Pelodiscus sinensis: one gene and its partner. The protein of the gene in region 2 interacts with the protein of the main gene of each other region in a biochemical or structural test. Links are inferred from orthologs where the notes say so. Each region holds a gene or a part of one and is shown on either strand. Other genes may lie near its edges.

Region 1 (10,158 bases), on a different chromosome or scaffold from region 2:
GGCAGAATCCCCTGGGATGTTAACATATCAGATCTCGGAGGGAGTCAAAATCTGCTTTTTTGACGTCCAAGGTGTGTATTTTACTACTCCCTTTTCTTCCTTTCGTCAGGATCCTGAAATCTACCATCTCATGATCACTGCTTCCCAGGTTGTCACCCACCTCCACTTCCCCTATTAGTTCCTCCCTGTTTGTGAGCAGAAGGTCAAGCTGCGCACGGCCCCTGATCGGATCCTTCAGCACCTGTGTCAAGAAGTTATCCCCAACATTCTCCAAAAACTTCCTGGATTGCCTGTGTACTGCCGTATAGGTTTCCCAGCAGATGTCAGGGTGATTAAAGTCCCCCACGAGAACCAGGGCCTGCGATCTGGAAGCTTCGCTCAGTTGTCCAAAGAAAGCCTCATCTACCTCATCCACCTGATTCCGTGGCCTGTAGCAAACACCAACCACAACATCAATGCTGTTGTTTGCTCCTTTAAACTTAACCCATAGACTCTCAACAGGTTTTTCTCCCTCTTTATTCTGGAGTTCAGAGCAATCGTAGTGCTCTCTTACATATAGTGCAACTCCTCCTCCTTTTCTCCCCTGCCTGTTGTTCCTGAACAGTCTATACCCTTCCATGACAGCGCTCCAGTCATGCGAGTCATCCCACCAAGTCTCTGTTATCCCAATTAAATCATATTTCTTGGTCTGGGCCAGGGCCTCCAGTTCTTCCTGTTTGTTGCCCAGGCTTGTCGCATTAGTGTACAAACACTTCAGGTAACCAGTTGATTATCCTATCTTCTCCATTCATAACATGGGTCCTCCTTTCTTGCCCCTTCCTCTCTGCATTTCTTCCCGGTATCCGACTTTCCCACTCCCCTCAGGGTTTTGGTCACCGTCCCCCGACGAACCTACTTTAAAGCCCTCCTCACTAGGTTTGCAAGCCTGCCCGCGAAGATGCTCCTTCCTCTCTTCCTTAGATGGATCCCATCTCTTCCTAACAATCCTTGCACCCGGAACAGAGTCCCATGGTCGAAGAAACCAAAGCCCTCTCTGCGACACCATCTGCGCAACCACGCATTTAAGTCCTCAATTAGACGATCCCTGCCCAGTCCTTTCCCTTCAACAGGGAGGATGGAGGAGAATACCACTTGCGCTCCAAATTCTTGGATCCTTCTTCCTAGCGCTACATAATCCGCAGTAACACGCTCAAGATCATTCTTGGCTGTATCATTAGTTCCCAGGTGGAGAAGCAGGAAGGGGTAGCGATCCGAAGGTTTGATCAGCTTGGTAAACCTCTCAGTGACATCCTGAATGCGAGCTCCCGGTAAGTAGCACGCCTCTCGAGATTCCAGGTCCGGACGGCAGAGGGATGGCTCAGTCCCTCTTGGGAGGGAGTCCTCGACCACCACCACCCGTCGTTTCCTTTTGGGCGTGGTGGCCGTGGAACCTCCATCCGTAGGACTACGCATCCCATGCCTTCCAGTAGATGGTGTTCCCTTCTGGTTTCTTCCTTGTGAGGTCCCTTCCAGAGCTTTCAGCACTTCAGAGCCTGCGGAGAGAGCTTGAAAGCGATTGCTTACCTCTATAGCATCGGGGGATTCCCGTGCTGGCCTTTTTCCCCTTCTAGAAGTTACATGCTGCCAGTTCTCTTCTTGGTCACGTACTGCCCTCTCTGGCTCTTCTGCCTGCCGTGCTTGAAGGATTAACTGCTGCTTTCTATCGAGGAAGTCTTCACCCTCTCTGATCAAGCGTAGGGTCGACACTTGGGCCTCCAGTCCTCTAATTTTTTCTTCCAAAGTGTCGACCAGCTTGCACTTGGTGTAGATGAAATCCGTTCTTTCTTCCGGGAGTAAGACAAACATGGCACACGCTGTGCAGGTAACAACCGCAGACCCATCACCAACTATCGCTGCTGTCCTGGAAAATGGATTTAAAAAGAAAGGCAAGAGAACCTCCCACCCTTCCCTCTCCCCTTCCAATCTCCCTCTCAAAACTCCCTGTTAGCAATCACTTGTTCGCAAGCTCCTTGGTCACTTGCCCACTGCCTTATAAAGCCCCTCCCCCTACCAAGGCTCAGCCAATCAGCAGAGGCTTCTAGAATTCAAACTTTAATTAGAAGCCAACAGTTTCCACCTGCCAATCACAGCACAAACTCCATCAAGGGGAGGGGGAGGGCGAGGGCAGAGGGGAGGGGGGCGAGAAGAAAGAGTCCCAGACCGCACCAGGCCCAACCTAAAATGCCAGTCCATCGCGCGCTGGGGACTGTTACCCAACCCCTTCCGCGCGTGCGGGAAGGCAGCAGGGGGTCTGGGACTGCGCCAGCTCTGGCTGCTCAGGCAACATGAGCGTCCCAAGTGGTTGGGGCTGGTGTGATCTGGGACTCCCCATTCCGAGCCTGTTTCCCCCCCCCCCCCCCCCCCAGGCAGGAAGCAGAGGAATAAAATCCCCAGCACGCCTGTTCCAGCTGCTTGGGGAGCACATGCTGCCTGAGCAGCTGGAGCCAGCATGCTGGGGATTTTATTCTCCTGCTGCCTGCCTGCAGAGGAGGGGGGAGTCCCAGACTGCAACCTCTCACGAAGCTTGCGCCTTACTCCTCCCCTCCGCGTGGCAGTAAGCGCTGCCTGAGCAGCCAGAACCGGCACAGTCCAAGACACCCAACCCCTTCCCCATGTGCAGGAAGGCAGCAGGGGAACAAAGTCCCCAGCGTGCAATGGACCGGCATTTTAGGTTCCGGTTTTAGGTGCCGGTTGTTGGGGGGGGGGGGGGGGGGGAGAGAAAGAGCAGTCCGCACACTTCAACTCTCCCCACCCCGCTGGAAGTCCGTGCTACCTCCGTTGTTCCTGGAGATAGCAACAGCACAACATTCATCTTGGGGGGTGGGGGCCGTGAGAGCCCCCCCCAAAAAGCCTCACAATCGATTAGTTGGGCCCCCTGGATTGACCAGTAGATCGCAATTGACGGGTTGGTGACCACAGCCCTATAGTAAGCACCCAAGTAAAACATGAAAGGCACAGCTACCATCAAAGGAAGAGTTAACTATCACTTTGTAAGTTTTGAACAAACAACCTTGATGCAGTCCTAAAAAATACCTAAACAAATATTTGTAATTATTTTCCATTACATAAACACAAGAAATGTTTACATTCAAACAGGTTAGGTCTTGTGCTCCAGAAAGATGAGGAAATGGACTAAAAGTATGTGTAACTGACTTGTTTTCATTATTTACTTCTGAGTTTGAAACCTTGAATATAAAATTACATTTTATTAATTTGAATTATGACTGGTCACACAAATTAACCTTTTAAAACATTATGGTCCTTTAAAAATATGATTAAAAGCCACGAAACACAAGACTATGGATAAGGGCAATAAGGTTAAAACTTCCTCTAAGTCAGTCTTGTGATTATTGCTGAGCCTCCATTTCACAACTGTAATTTATGTGCTGTTAAATATAGGTACTGTGACTAGAAAGACAACACAATTCATGACTGAAGGGTTGTCATCTGTGATTCTGGCTTTGGGAAAGGAAGTAGCCACACGGTGGGAAAGGAACATTACGCCTAGAAGTTAATGAAGGGGATTCTCTGAAAGACTGGAGAATGGGTCTCCCAAGGAGAGATTACACCCCATGTTACATCCCCAAACCAGAGAACCACAGATTACTCAGAAGAGCGTTTAAGAAAAAAAAATGCACCACCTCAGGCCAGCCCACATAGGAAGGAACTGGGGAAATTACCCCGTCACTCGTCGCTTCCCTTCCATGTTCTCAAGGTGGGTGGGGCAGACATAACAATGTCGTTAATTTGAGATTCCTTCCCCTTTGGATAAAAGCTCTGTCGACTGCAGCCGTGGGCCTGCGAGTTAACCTGCACTAGTCACCCCCCGCCCCGGCAGCCAGGGGGAGAGTGGCCGAGTCCAGCGGGGCGATGGCGAGTGCCAGCCCCTCGGCGGGCGGCCGGGGCACGGATACGGGATCAAGGTTAAGCGCTGCGGGGCCATTTCGCTGAGGCCCCCAAATGCGCGAGGCTGGCGGGAGCTGGGCACTCACCGCCCCGACCCCGGCCCAGCGACCCCTCCCCGCCTCTCCCGGCGGCGACACCGCGACCCAGGCCGGCTGCTCCGTGACAGGCTCGCTGTGCACAGTCCCCACGGCGGCGGGCCCCACGTCTCTGCACAGCCGGGAAGGCAGGCAGGCTCCGGCCGGTGGCCGCAGAGCCGCCCGGGCCGCAACGGGGGTCGCGGGCCGCGCGGCGGAAGGAGACGGACCAGTCACTCACCACTTGGTAACGGCTGGCGGGCTCCATCCCGGCCGCCCGCGGACACACACAGGCGCGGCCCAACCACCGACTCCTCCGCACCCGCTCGTTGCTCGCGATCCCTCCGCGGCTGCCGCCCTGGGTCCCTGCCGCAGCGGCCGGGCCCTACCTTCCTCCTCCGCCCACCGCCCCTCCCCCTCCGGATGCGGCCTGGGTTCCGACCCGCCTTCCGGGGGCGGGCGCCGCGCGACAGCCGCTCCCCCCGCGGCCGAGGGGCACTAAGGCGCCGCCCCCTCCCCGTGACGCACGTAATAAGAGGCGGGGGAGGGGAAGCGAGTACACGCATCACCACCGCCCGGCCCCTGCCTGCAGCTCTCCCCCCGCCCCCCAGGTGACTGGCGTGTGTCCTGCCCCCCCGCCCTGCCCCGCTGCTTGAGCCTCCCGGCACCCCGCTCTGCGCCGCAGCGCGGATACCAATCGCCGCAGCGCTTACGCGCCCTGTACTCCGCTGCCCCCGCACCCACTCCCGGCCTTTTACCTCTTATGCAGATTAGCTTGCTCTTGCACATATATATGCATTGGCTCTAAACAGGTTTCAGGCCTCACGCATAAGCAATTTACAAACAGTAACAAAACGTTCATGAAAAAAAGCGTTCATGAGTACTTAAAGGTACTCACAAATGGCTGAACCCAGTGGTACTCACACGCACATTGGTCTGCTCCAATATATTTAGCAATGAACCCTTTTTATACCTTTTAACAAACAGGTGATGCCATTGCTATCACTGACTTCAGCTAAAAACAATTTGAGACCGTTCATCCTAACTTCCAGTCTTAATCCAGATAGGATTTACAACCTTCTTATTTTTTCCTGTTTTTTGTTGCAGCCAAAGGTTTACATAGAAAATAATACTAGCCTGTGGGGTGAAAAGATCCATGACGACTCCTTTTAGGAAAGATTTGGTGTTTTTTTTTTAATTGAAAAACCAACTGCATTCACCCCTTTCAGTCAGAGGCCTTTTTATAAACTTCCTCTGATATAATTAGTTATTCTTTGACCAGAAATCCTCCAAAATTCATTTTGTGGCTTCTTGCCTATGCAAACCATATGTCCCAGTTTTTCCAGGACAATTCCCATTTTAAAACTCCTAGCCCAGTGTCTCTCTACAACAGTGAAATCTGGAAATCAGTGCATGGGAAAGAAAGCCCCCAAGTTCCCTGCTAGATGCAGCTTGTGCATGCTGCCATTTCCTTTACTCCACCCCCTAGACAGCTTCCCAGCACTCCCTGGAGGCTTTTCCCTTTGTTCCCATGGGTCAGAATCTAGCCCATGGCATGGGAGCAAAGGGGAAAGCTTCTGGGGGGAGGGAGAGCACTGTGCAGAATCTGGCCAATAGGAGCTTCCTCTGCACAGCTCTTCCCTCCCTTCCCAAGAGATGGGGCAACGTAAATGCAGGGACATGCTGGCTACATCTACACTGGCCCCTTTTCCGGAAGGGGCATGTAAATTTCAGCAGTCGTCGTAGGGAAATCCGCGGGGGATTTAAATATCCCCCGCGGCATTTAAATAAAAATGTCCGCCGCTTTTTTCCGGCTTTTAAAAAAGCCGGAAAAGAGCGTCTAGACTGGCCCCGATCCTCCGGAAAAAGTGCCCTTTTCCGGAGGCTCTTATTCTTACTTAAGGGCACTTTTTCCGGAGGATCGGGGCCTGTCTAGACGCTCTTTTCCGGCTTTTTTAAAAGACAGAAAAAAGCGGCGGACATTTTTATTTAAATGCCGCGGGGGATATTTAAATCCCCCGCGGATTTCCCTACGACGACTGCTGAAATTTACATGCCCCTTCCGGAAAAGGGGCCAGTGTAGACGTAGCCGCTGTGCTCAGGCCTGGTGCTACCCAACTCCCAGCTCTGCTCCTGCAGAGGCTCAGTATGAATAGCCGAGAAGCATTGCGTGGGGTGGGGTGTTTTCCCAAAGCAAAGGGGCACGAACTAACCTGCCTTCATCCCCAGGACTTTGCTGCACATGAAACCTGTCTCAGGGAGTGGCAGAAACCCTCACCTGAGACAATTCCTGTGTGAACCATTCACACAGGAACCAGGAGCAAAGCCTCACAGCAGGGGCAGTCACTAGGAGTGTCCATACGGGACAGACTGAGCACAATGTTAGTTGCCTTTGAGTCTGGGGGGCTCTGGGTCGGGGCTGCTGAGGAGCAAGGCTGGGAAGTGGTGTCGCAGAGGAAGTTGGAGGGCGGGAACCTCAGAACTTCCTGCTTCTGCCTTCCAAAGCTTTGTTTTGCCTGGCAGAGAATCCTGGCCCTGGCAGGGGGAGGTGCCAAAGGCCCCCACCGCTGCTCCGATGGCCTGAATCTAAGTGTCCCGAGCACAGAGCCTCGCGATCTCCTGGCCCCCTGCTAGAATTGCAGCACTCAGAGCGAACAGCTGGGGGCTTGGCAAAGCCGCCCTGAGGGTCACACCTGTCTGTACCAGTGACCAGTGCCTGCCTTGGAAGAAGGCAGAGATTTTAGAAACACTGCTGTAGATCTAGGGGGGCAGGGGAGAGGGGGACCACTTTAAAGCTAAAGTTATTTTGCCTTAAAACTAATGAATCCTTACGTTCCTTTCTCAATTATCACAAAATGTTTCTTTATAATGGAAGAAAAGGCTGCATATCTTCCTATACTGAAATCTACTCATTTTAAAAGATAGCACAGAACAGATACATAAGGGCTGTGTCTAGACTGGCCAGTTTTTCCGGAAAATCAGTCACTTTTCCGGAAAAACTTGCCAGCTGTCTACACTGGCTGCTTGAATTTCCACAAAAGCACTGACTTCCTACTGTAAGAAATCAGTGCTTTTTGCGGAAATACTATGCTGCTCCCGTTCGGGCAAAAGTCCTGCGCAAAAAGGCCAGTGTAGACAGCTGAGATTTGTTTTCTGCAAAAAAGCCCCGATCGCGAAAATGGCAATCGGGGCTTTTTTGCGGAAAAGCGCATCTAGATTGGCCACGGACGCTTTTCCGCAAAAAGTGCTTTTGCGGAAAAGCATCCGTGCCAATATAGACGCGCTTTTCCGGAAATGCTTTTAACGGAAAACTTCCGTTAAAAGCATTTCCGGAAAATCATGCCAGTGTAGACGTAGCCAAGCACTTTAGTTAAAATTAAATGATCTAAAAAGTTGCATTTGTGCAAGGCCAGGGGGAAAGCTTGCTCATTACAGCTGCCAAGCAAAAACCACCTGTTCTGGTCACAGACCTATGATGAGATTTTAAATATGAGCAACTTACATATAACAAATCTCAAAACAGGCTGAACCTAAAACAGTATTGTTTAAAACTAATTGAGTTTAAATGTGCACAATTTTTGACAAACACTGTAAACTTAAGTAACTACTATCTATCCATTGGGAGTGATGAAGCAAAATAATTTCAAAAAGCTTTTGCCAGTCTTCCCTTAAAGCCTGTAAAGGCCAGATCTGCAATGAGCTCTCCATTCTCATTAACTTCAGAGTTCACTGGGTCTTAAGTAAATGGATCTTGAATGTGTTTTGCATTTTAATTATTCTAACACACAACAAGGGAAACTAGGAGATTAAAAAATGAATTTCTTCACCATGTGCCATTTCAGCCACTGTCATCCAATCAGTCCTCTACAGAAATATTCTTGCATTTGGACAATACATCTGTCTTGATGACTCCTGTGGGGGTCTGAAATGTGCAGCACTGATAGTTAGGAAAAATACTTTTCAACTTTGTAAATTGAGTCCATTTGAAATCACAGCCAAAATGTACAGGCAACCCCTGCACGCATGACCTAATTGGTTCCTGGAGAACTGACGTAAGTTGAAACCTTTTTTCCCATAGATGCAATGATAAAAATGGGGGTTCTGTTACTGGCCCGCTTTGTTTGCTGGGAGTTGTAGTCCGCAGCGCGAGGTGCTCCCAGAGCTGGCTGGGGGCTGTGCCGGGGGAGGGCAGCAGTCAAAGCAAGGCGGTCATAAATGTGGGGAGTCGTATGTTGGGCAGTCGTAAGTCAGGGCTCGCCTGTATATGAAACAATACAATTTCAATTGAATGATTAGTAGGCAGTGGTGCATCAGCAGTGATGAAAAGGCGGAGGGGAAAAGCTTGTCATAAGACGATGTAAGTGGGTGTCCTTCCTGCCCAGCCCCAAGTGCTCCAGAGTGTCATGAGCTCAGCCTCCACCCCACCTCCTCATTGCTCAGCTCCTGCCTATGGCCACTTGCCAGAAGCCACTGCCAAGTCAGGGGAGTGAGCTGGGCTTTCTGCTCCAAGCTGCTGGCACCAGCCCAGTTCATGGGGCACAGAGATCCCCCCCCCCCCCGCAGCCAAGAGCCAGCACCAGCTCCCCATGATAGCCCTTGTCCCAGTGCACAGGGCCACACCGAGTCCCCTCAGGCCCTGTTGTGCCACTAGAGCCTCCTCACACATCCTGTCCCTGTGCACAACACTACCACATACATGTATCTTGCCCATACTGCCACTTCCACACACCACTATACACAGCTCCTCTCTAGTCACAGCACCAGCAGCACATCCACCACCCCACACACCATGCCCCTACACACTTCACCACTTCCACACACCCTCTCCAGATACACAGTGCCACCAACATGTATACACATGCACTGCCCACAGGCACAGCACTGTCATACACACCCTGCCCCTACACACACCACACCACATCACCTCCCCACAGCACACCAGCACCTCCTATGAGGCCCAAACCCATCCCAATTGGTAGAGGGGTGGTGAGAGGAGTTCTTGAGAGGTCTCATGACACCTTTTGCTTCTGGTCATGTGTCCATCTTGACCCCAGCTGTACTACCCCCAGGGGCGGGACTGCCTCAGGCAGGCAGGCAGGGCCTTAAAGGTCAGGTGGCGTGACTAATGTTTGATTCATGGTAGGGCCCTTATATCAAGTGTTCCCATTTTTGGTTCAGAAAATATGCTCACCATGATTATCACTTGTATTCTAGCCCTTTCTCGTACTTGTTAGTAAAAGAGCCTTTTTTGACATCATGCATATATTTCCTTAACCAAACTTAAACTACCTTCTTATCTGGGCTGGAAGATACCTGATTTTAAACTTGGCGGGTCACTCATTATCAACCATCTACAACCTATCCTGGCAAATGACCCCTCACTCTCACATGCCTTGGGAGACCGGCCAATCCTCACCTACAGACAACCCCCTAACCTCAAACAAATTCTTTCCAGCAACCACACAGCACACCTCCATCATATTCATCCAGTAACCCATCCCTGTAATCAATTCCAGAGCCAACTCTGTCCACACATCTATAAAAAAGTGACATTACAGGACCTAACCACATAAATCACCACATCAAAGGCTCATATAACTGCACATCCACCAGTGTGATATATGCCATCAATGCCCCTGTGCCATGTACCATATACTGGCCAAACTGGACAGTCTCTACAATGAAGGATTAATGAACACAAATCAGATATTCATAAAAGTAACACACAGAAACCTATTGCAGAACATTTTAACATACCCAGGCACTCATTAATGGATCTCAAAGTTTCCATATTATTACAAGCCAATTTCAAAAACAAGCTTGAAAGGGAAGCAGCAGAGCTTAATTTCATTTGCAAGTTTGATACCTACAATAGAGCTTTAAACAAAGACCTTAACTGGATTACCCCCTACATTCTACATCCTAATGACATAAAAAGCCAAATGATGGGTATTTAGAACCCACTCTTATTAACTTCATTTAGGGTGGACACTCTGACTATTCTTTTCCCGTTTTTTTCCTCCTTTCCTTTCCCTCACCATCCCCTCTCTTGGTGCATCTACACAGCAGCGTTTTTCCGGAAAAACGGCTGTTTTTCCAGGAAAATAATACTTGCATCCACACTGCCATTGAGTTCTTT
Region 2 (9,737 bases):
AGAAGCCACAAAAATGTTTGTGTGAAAGAACAAAACTTTTAACATACTGCTGAGTGTGACAGTGAAACCCAAACAAAAGACTAACTAGAGATGTTTTCAGCAGGAATACTATGAATGTAAAATATCCACAGGCTGCTAACAAAAATATATTGAAACATATATATGGAAAAGGTATGATGATATGGTGGATAGCAGTAAAGTAAAAGGTTTTCTCCAGAGGCCGTGAAGGCTAGCAGTTCATGTTCTTGTGTTAAGTGCTAAGAAAGTTAGTTATCTTGGAATAACGTTCATACTGTTAGTTTTTGCTATGAAAGCTGCAGAGTCATCATATGGTCTTGCTGTAGTTAGCAGCTGTCTTTCTGTACTACATTTCACTGAAAGAGAGCACGAGAGAATGAGAATACACACAAGCAATAAAGGCTAAAAGCTGATCCTGTGAGTCTGTTTTCACAGCTGGAGATAGGGTGCTTACTATTCTATATACAGCATCACTGAGCTTAGAAACTCAAGTGGGCAGTGTTAAATTGCACTGCAAAGCAATTCAAGCAAATGACTCTGCATGCCCCCATAAATTTTACCCATGCATGAGCCTATAAAGTCTGTATCAAAAACATCACAGAACTTCATCTCTCTCATATAACAGAAGAAATAGGCTTTATAAGATTTTACATCATATTTCATATCAAAGCTATATTACAGGATATTGTAATAAATTATGCCTGAACTTCATTTACAGTAATTTGATCATATTCCATATGACACTAAAAAGGCAATGTGAAAAGTTCTTAGTTTTGAAGACATTCAAGAGCACAAGTGTTCTTTGAAATGAAACAATTCTCACCACTTTGTTCTTTACTATTTTCTGTCCCCACAAAGTCCTGAACTAGGATAATTTGCTTTTAAATATATTTTAAAATATGAAAAGTTAGTGTCAAAAATGTAATCTCTGTACAGTAAAGATTTTGCTTTTATTTCTTTATCAGTTTGCTAAGAGTGACACTTAGGCTTTCCAATTTTTAAAAACGCTTTAGCTGACGTAACTTTGAGTTAAGCAACATGTGATACATTACAACTCCAAGAAAACATTGAGCTGAATGTAATCATAACTGGAAGCAAAACTATTTTAGGTTACAGTTAGGGATGCTTTACAGATTGTTCCAGAGAAACGTAGATCTCACCAGTATTAATGAGTGAAATTCTTCAGTGACCTAAAATTGGAAAAAGTTTTCTGTGTGGCCATTTATATTTTATTAGAACACAAAGGGAAGTATTTTCAGCATGTTACTTACCGTGGCACTGGCGGCTGTAGGCCCAGGGATATCAGGGCTCTCTTCATCAGTCATTTGATTTTGTTCTTCAGTACCACGGGTTACAAGAATTCTGAAGTGTTGCTGCCTTGTGTTTTGATCTGGTCTGATTTTAAACAAGCATCCCTGCCCTTGAGGAATCCTTTCTACTGAATTACTTCTAGATATTTCTGACCCATTTCTGCTATTTCCATGCAGTTCTGAATTCATTCTGTCTTCTACTGGGCTAATTCGTTCTGGTCGTGGCTGTACAGGGTAGGAAGTACTCCTTTCCAGCCGTATACGAGGATATCTGACCAATCTATTCCCTTTTGTTCCAGTAAAACCAAAATTATAGTCACTTCCTGTACCTGTACCACTTGCCTGCGATTGCTGCAACTGGAAAACAAATAACTTTTTCCCTGAATTTGCTGACACATCTGGCAGGTGCTGCAAGGACCAGCGCCTGGGTTCAGAGGCTGGGGAGTTATTCTGATCCTCAGAACCAAAGGGCAATAGCGTAACCTGACGCATGTCTGTGCATGAAGCGCGATGTTGAATTCTTACGCCACTTAGATTTAACCCTGAAGCTGCTTCGCTTGCTTCGTCTTCTAGGGCAGTCGTTGCCCCATCATTCCAGTTATTGGAAGGAACTGTACAAAATATTCTGTGGTTACAGGAAACAGCTCCATTAAGCTGTTCCTGAATCTCTTCAGGCATCCTGGGTGGAGAATTCTCTGGGGTTCCTTGTGGACTGCTTGGAGAAGAAGAAGGGCTGTCAACTGGGCATGTGTAATGCTCCCTGGAGTCTGTGAATTTACATGGCAGCATCTCCTCAGGAGACTCTGGGGCTCCGCACTCATCAGCACAGCCGTTCACAGCTTTGCGCTGAAGAGAGATCTGCATAGAGGAGCTCCTTGTTGGACGCACATCAATATTGTTCAGAAGCTGAGGAATAAACATGGATGTACTTCTTTTCAAGGAGCCCACTCCTTGCAAATCACCGCCACCATAATCCGCTCCATGTCGGGAGAAAGGATGGGGACTGTTTCTTCTTGGCAAAGTGTGGAATGCCATGAAAAAGTCATCTTCTCTCTCTCGGTCTAGGATCTCAGATTCAGGGGCTGTGTTGCTTCGTCCAGAGCCAAAATGAAACCGCAGCCGATGGGCCATGGTTTAACAGAGAGAAGAAAGAGAGGGAGAACAGCAACAATTCAGGCACTGCCAGAAGTTAGAAAACAAAGACAAACTCCAAGAAAAAGTGTCCCATCTGCCAAACTGTTAGTACTGCAGCACTGATAGCGACAGATAGCAGAAATAGCCCAAGTGGCAAGCAGCATTCCAGGCATGATTGGATAAGAGCAATCAGCACTCCTACACACAGTGACATAGGGTAGGATGGTTGAAATCACATGACTTGGTTCCCCCTCTCCACTGCAAGCTAGTTTTTTTTTTTTTTTTTAAATACCAGTAAGAGCCTGAAACAGCACCTTCACAGCTGCTCCTTTTCCATCAGAAAAGAGCTGCCCCCGCGGGAGAGCTCTCACAGCTGACTAAGGCAGCAAGCACACTCGGCACTGCTATAAATCTCAGCCACATCACATTCACAGGGCACTTTCGTACAAAAACTTCACTGCAACAAAAGCACTTTAAGTGTTGATAGTTCAAGTCAGCTTCACAAATGCAGATTGAGAAGAAGTGAGCTGGCTTGAGATGACAGATTCAGGCTTCCTCTGTTTTGATGCTTCAACATTAGGCTACCATGGTAGAACACAAATAAATATTAGTCCCTGGTTATGCTCTAGGGTTTTTTTTCTGGTTCTTTAAAAGATTAAGTAACAAATTATTCACTACAGAAAAATCCATAACTTTTACCTTATCACTATAAATGCAGCATAACCTATTTATACTGCATACAGAAATTTGAACAAAGAATTCTTACATATGCCAACTATTTCTCACACAATGACAGCAACAGAAATGAACAAGATGGCAAGAGACAGGATGGTTGTTTTTTTCCCCCAGTTTTATCAGGAAGCAAAGACGAACGAAAACTGAAGAAGGGTGTGCATATCATTTTGGAATTATTTTACTTAAGTGCCATACAGAAATGCTGCCCAGTGTTGGCAGCCTTCCAATGAGAGAGTCTGCAATATTACCACAAGTCTGATTGCCAGCACGGAGGATAGCTATGCTTGCAAAGAGCCAAAAGAGCTTAAAAGAAGAACATATGGGATACAACCAAAAATTTAAATAAACATCCCGATTCAGCCCTGCCACAATGCAGAATCTCAACCTTTAAAAAGGGGTTGTCATAACTGAGGTGCACTGAAGTTCTAGAAGATTTTTGCATGAATCAGAAACAAAATCTGTTTAAACAAAAAGTTTATCTACAGAAGAGACACAATTGAAATAACCTCAATTAAAAGAGTGGCAACTTGGCTCCTATGAACGGTTAAAAAAACCCCAGTTTTTTCAACAGTTCTACCCTTGTACGTGTTGGGTCAATACTACTGCTAGATACCTAAAACCACTGTTTTACAATAGCTTGTTTTCAAATACAAAAAACAACCAAGTACAAGAGAAATAAAAGCTGATTTAAACAATAAAACTGCCAAGGGCCAGTACAATCCTCTATTGTTTTAACTGGACTATGAGCCAACGACAAGAAAAACATGGGTATTTGCTACAGTAACAGCACTGTAGATTGCTTCATGCAAGCACAGGTGTTAGTATTATTTTAATACACTTTTCAAAAAACAGCATGGTTCTGGGCTATTTAAATAAACAAGTACCCTTTTTTACTAAATACGCAACTTGCAACCACAGTCTAGTCTAGTGTGACAAACCTACTGCAATCTAACAACTCACTGATGGTTTAGGAACAAGATGAACTCGTAAGAAATTATTCTGGGGGCAAATCTTAGTAATTGTAAGCTTACATTTGTATTTATGCTTGGAATTAAAAAAAAGACACACAAATTAACTGTTTTGGCCCCTAAAAATATAGTCATGCTACAGAAAATAGTCTTAGAGTACTCAGTTCAATACTCCCTCAATCTACACGTTAGTATGAGATATAAAGGCAATTACCACTTCTCAGATGTCATTGTGTGGTAATGGTTGAAAAATGTCTTTTTAACAACCACCACTGTATTGTCACATACTAGCTTGCTTGTGCACACTACTACCCTCTGCTGGTTCACATATAACTTATTCAAATTTTTTGACGTCCCACTCTGCCAGCTGGCCTGAAAAGAGGAAAAGAAACTTAAAACTAGAAAGAGTTATTCAAGATTCCCTACAAGTGGAGGCCTGTAATTCTGAAATAGAATAATAAATCCATATGAAGGCACTGAAATGATCAGTGTGCTTAGAGGCATTTAATGGGGGTTGAAATGGAATAATCTATTTCCTCACATCATTAGATGAGAGAACCTCTATATTCTCCCCCCTGAAAAAAGGTTACCTAAAAAAGTTTCTATCTTTTTCCTTGCATTACATAAATATTTGCTTTGATGGAACTGAAAGAAAAGAAAGTTGACAAAAAGATAGTCAATCTATCATATATATATATGGCATATTTTGTCCCAGTATATTAAGCAAGTTTGGTAGACACATACTGCACTTTATATAATCTAAAAGAATCAAATATTTTGTGATATAGCACCACATCTTGTTATAATACTGTTAATAAATATAGTGCTAGTGGGTCACTATTCCATTAATACTGCTTTTAAAAACTTTCTTCAAACTACTTTCATAAATTACAATTACATTGATGCCTTACATCAACTATACCTAAAATCAAACCATATTTTTGCCTAGCCATCTAGTTAACCGTACAAAAATAACAAATAAAGCAGTAATTACAGTATCCCTTCCCTAAATATCTCAGCTGCATAATTTTGTTTCAAGAGGAGTGCTATAAATATTCAGCTTGTAAAATACCTACGTTTCCTGCTTTATATACCTCACTTTACCTTACTTATTTTACATATTTAAACCACTGAAACAAAAAATACGTTTTATTTAAGGTATACCAATTTTCCAAAAACTAAGATTCAGGAGCTATGTTACTTCCAAGTTTAGTTGAGTGATTAGTAAAATACACACAACTGGGACTAGAGTAGTACACTCACCAATCTGTTTTCATCAAACACTTCAAACAGGAGTCTATGATTAGTTGGGTTTACCTATAAAAAAAAAAAAAGTGTTACTTCATGCTCATTTCCTTCACAACATAAACCATTGATGGGTACAGTAGTTTGCTAAATGCGGGTTGACAGGCCTTGAATATAACTTAACTTTACCTACTGTGTAAATACCCATTTAAAATTCTAAATCTATAACTAGAAATATTCTGGTTTTCAATACTATGTTTTTACTTAGTTATTAATAGAGCACCTCTTATTCTACATCCCTGTTCCTTGAGAAAGCTCCCAACAGAAAGATGTTTTATGGAGGTCACTCACCAAGAGACCCAACCTGACAGAATCAGAATCTGTGGTTGATGGCTCTTGGTGAGTAGCATGTGAATGTTAAACTAGTTAATCAGAGGGGGCTGGAGCAGCTTCCTGCCTGCCACAGACAGGGAGTTGCTCTAGCCCCACAATGGCAAGCCCACAGCAGACAGGGGCTGCCTCTGTCCACAGCAGGTAGCCTTCACCCAGGGGCTGCTCCAGCCTGACATGTGATTTCCAGAGGAGCCTGCAGTGGGGAGGGTGAGGTGAGGGCTGCTCCAACCCAGCAGCAGGCATGGTGGGCACTCCAGCTAGACAGGAGCTGCCCTGCCACCCCCTCTTAATTTGGTTAACCAGTTAAACAATATGTTTAACCAGGTTAACCAATTAAATAGGATTTTACATCTCTACTGGTGACCAAGGTGTCAGACTGCTGGGTTATAGGGTCTTTCTTGGTATTGAAATTTCAGAGCTGAAGTGTGATACAGGAACTAGAATTTTTAAAAGAATAGTCTCCTTTTTATTGATTCTAAACATACTACTTAGAATTATGCAGCACCTCTATTTTTCACCCTCTGCCTACACCCAGTCTGCCACTGTTCCTACCCATTTTACAAATGACACTTGAGAAACACTGTGGATGAGATGAGAAATCATACTGAGAAATGAGTACACCTTCAGGATATTGTTTCCACAGACAGATGCTGAATTACATGAATCCCCTCAAAACAATGAATGTCAAGGAGGCAACAAGGCCACCATCGAATAAAGGCAGGTTTCTATGGTAGTTAATCCAGGTTCGTATACTTTTCAGGAAAGTGTAAGACAGGTGGCTAAGCCCAGTCCTCTATTTGAGGCAACACAGAGAATATATTCCTTAATAGGCAGACACTTATGTGGGTTTATTGACAGAGGGAAATCCCAAACTGAACTAGCACAAAGAGTGTGATCCCTCCAGTAGAGGAGTACACACAAGTACTAGTATGTGTCTTTCTGGGTAGGATTTTCATGAGTTTTTATAGCACTGCAGGGTTCCGTTTACATGTTCTAAGTAACAAGAGTTCTCATGGTCTGACTATGTCTTCATTCCAGGAAGAAGTATAAGGCGACCATGAAAAATATCAACAGATTCCATGAATACGGTAAATGTGTAGCACATATCCAATTTGCTGCAAATCCTGAATGCACACCAAAAGAAGAGCACTCAATTGCATGAGCTGTGCCTTCCAAACTGCTCTGCAACTCAACACTGTATAAAAATGGAGTTTTCCACCTGTCCAGTGTGGAATCAGTTCTGAGTTATTGCTGAATAATATCTGAAACAGCAGAGAGCCAAAAGCACTTATTTTGCTGGGGATAGCACGTAGCTGCACAAAGGTTTAAATTGACTAAAGGAAAGCATGCTGGTGTTTATAGACATTAATGAGCTGGAACTGCTAGAAAGGTATGAAGGTTATTTAAGGGCAGGTCTACACTAGAAGTGTTGCACTGATGCAGCTGTAGGGCATCCAATGAAGAAACTATGCTGCTGGGAGAGTGCTCTCTGGTTAGCATAAATATTCCCCCCCTGTGAGAGGTGGAAGCTATGTCAGTGGGAGAACATCTCCCACTGACACAGTGCCAGCAGCAACACTTGGACAGTGCTTAGGTGACTTAAACTTACATCACACACAGGGCGGGATCTTTTTAATACCCCGAGTGGCACAGGTTAAATTGACGTAAGTGGTAGCATAGACCGGCTGTAAAGCTTTGCCTATATTGACACAAAGTTGTTGTCTTATTGGCGGTGAGTTAACTAAGACGTGATAGGTGTCTGATTGCAAAACTCTACGTGGAGTCTAGGCAATTATAGTTTGCACACGGAGGCAAAGTAGATGAGGTCAACAATCTCCTCTTCCTCACTACCCTGCGACTGACCTCACCTAGTTTATCTTGTGTTGAAAACTTCAGTGCTGTCCCTCCAAGGGATTGCATGCAGTAAATACATAGCAGAGACAAGACACCACAAGGTAAATTAGGTCAGGTCAAGTCACAGGGCTGTGAAGGGGAGAATAGTATTGACTTTACCTTTACCTTGTGGTAGAAACCACTTTTTTAAAAAAAAAAATCAGTGAAAACAGAGCCGAAAATGTCTTCTTCCCCTCCAGAGTTAAGGTTGTTTGGGTGCCCTGATATTTGGATTCCTTTGAAGTTAATTTTTAAACACAGTATTTCCTAGGCGTTGGGTGTTTGGTAACTAGAACCATTTGGTAAGTTACTGATGTGTACTCAACATTACATTTAGCAAAGTAGGTTAACTGGGAATAAATACTAACCATACAACTGGTAACATGTGGTTCTAACAATGCCCAAACATTTTAGTGTGCCGCTTGTTTCTAAGACTTTTTTTCTGGAATCTTTAACAGGGTATCCTAAGAATCACTAACCATCTACATAAGAATGCCAAGCTTAATGTGTTTACATGTAACATGACCAGATGAATGTTCTACCAATGAAAAGCTTGCACACATTGCATCTTGTTGTGACTGAAATGGAAAAAGCTGGGGCCCGTCATACTGAGTTTAGTGCCAAGACAATTCCTAGTGATAGAAATGTAGCCGTGTTAGTCTGGTGTAGCTGAAACAAAATACAGAACTATGTAGCACTTTAAAGACTAACAAGATGGTTTATTAGATGATGAGCTTTCGTGGGCCAGACCCACTTCCTCAGATCAAATAGTGGAAGAAAATAGTCACAACCATATATACCAAAGGATACAATTAAAAAAATGAACACATATGAAAAGGACAAATCAAATTTCAGAACAGGAGGGGGATGCGGGGGGTAAAGGGAGGAAGGTAAATGTCTGTGAGCTAATGGTATTAAGAGGTGATAATTGGGGAAGCTATCTTTGTAATGGGTAAGATAGTTAGCGTCTTTGTTGAGACCGACGCGTAGAGTGTGGAATTTCAGCATGAATGACAGTTCAGAGGATTCCCTTTCAAGTGCAGTTTAAAAAGGCTTCTGCAGCAGGATGCAGGTAATTAAGTCATTGAGACAGTGTCCTTTCTGGTTGAAATGGCAAGAAACTGTTTTTTCTTTGTGATCCTGTCTAATATCTGTTTTGTGGGCATTGATCCTTGGGCGAAGTGTCTGAGACGTTTGTCCAATGTACAAAGCAGACGGACACTTTCGGCACATGATAGCATAAATTATATTTCTGGATGCCTAGAGATTCTGCAGTACTCAAAAGAAGTTCCTTGTGTATTATATTAGAGGACTCAAAATAGGTACCTCTGGACAGACTATTTTAGGGAGAAAAATCTACTAGATTTCACGGTGTAAAAAGCTATTTCAGTGGAATTGAGATTTTAAAGTATTTACAATCTCCCCAAATTAAATAAACAAATATTCTGTTGTAAATTACCAAATCAGCATAATAGACTACATCTAAAATGAATTTTGAATGGATACGACCATTTTAACAATATTCACTGCCCATCCCTGTTCTGAAACAGCTGTTCTAAAGAATACATTTAAACTGTTGAAATTTTACCTAATCTATTCCAATAAAAACTACATTTGGACAGAAGATAAGTAACTCCTCCTTGAAAACTCTTTATGATCCCAGAACATCAGAGATGTTTTCTACCTTCACTATTTATATTCCATTAAATTTAATTTGGGGTATTTTGAGACCACTTCACATTTTGCAAATATCTGAAGTTTTTATGATAAGAATGTGAACTACAGTTAATAACTGAAAAGCACTAGATTAAGTATAGTTCTATAACAATTTTGACATGATTTTACAAAACTTAAAAAAGTTACAAGAGGAAAATAAATGTGATATTCTCTCCACTTTCATGCTACTTGCCAAAAAATGCTCTTTCAATCCTCCTCTTCTGTGTTTGCAATTCACTCACTACTTTTTGCCATGCTAGCTCAACTTTCAAGATCTTTAACCATGAAACACTTAATTAGTTTCTTTCTTAATGTACTTTCAGTT

What was found.
Region 1: of the proteins of NEDD4L (region 2) and NDFIP2, one has a biochemical effect on the other in vitro, tested with the Homo sapiens proteins (2 studies listed by BioGRID, with this or other methods). The link is inferred for Pelodiscus sinensis from reciprocal best matches to the Homo sapiens genes NEDD4L and NDFIP2.

What each region holds. Positions count from the first base shown.
Region 1 is NC_134711.1:264,575,512-264,585,669, forward strand, and holds the start of NDFIP2 (NEDD4 family-interacting protein 2), read right to left. Parts: upstream 4,489-10,158; 5' UTR 4,288-4,488; coding exon 4,261-4,287; intron 1-4,260. UniProt on the Homo sapiens protein: Activates HECT domain-containing E3 ubiquitin-protein ligases, including ITCH, NEDD4, NEDD4L, SMURF2, WWP1 and WWP2, and consequently modulates the stability of their targets. As a result, may control many cellular processes.
Region 2 is NC_134716.1:110,160,256-110,169,992, forward strand, and holds the start of NEDD4L (E3 ubiquitin-protein ligase NEDD4-like), read right to left. Parts: upstream 4,292-9,737; 5' UTR 2,460-4,291; coding exon 1,290-2,459; intron 1-1,289. UniProt on the Homo sapiens protein: E3 ubiquitin-protein ligase that mediates the polyubiquitination of lysine and cysteine residues on target proteins and is thereby implicated in the regulation of various signaling pathways including autophagy, innate immunity or DNA repair.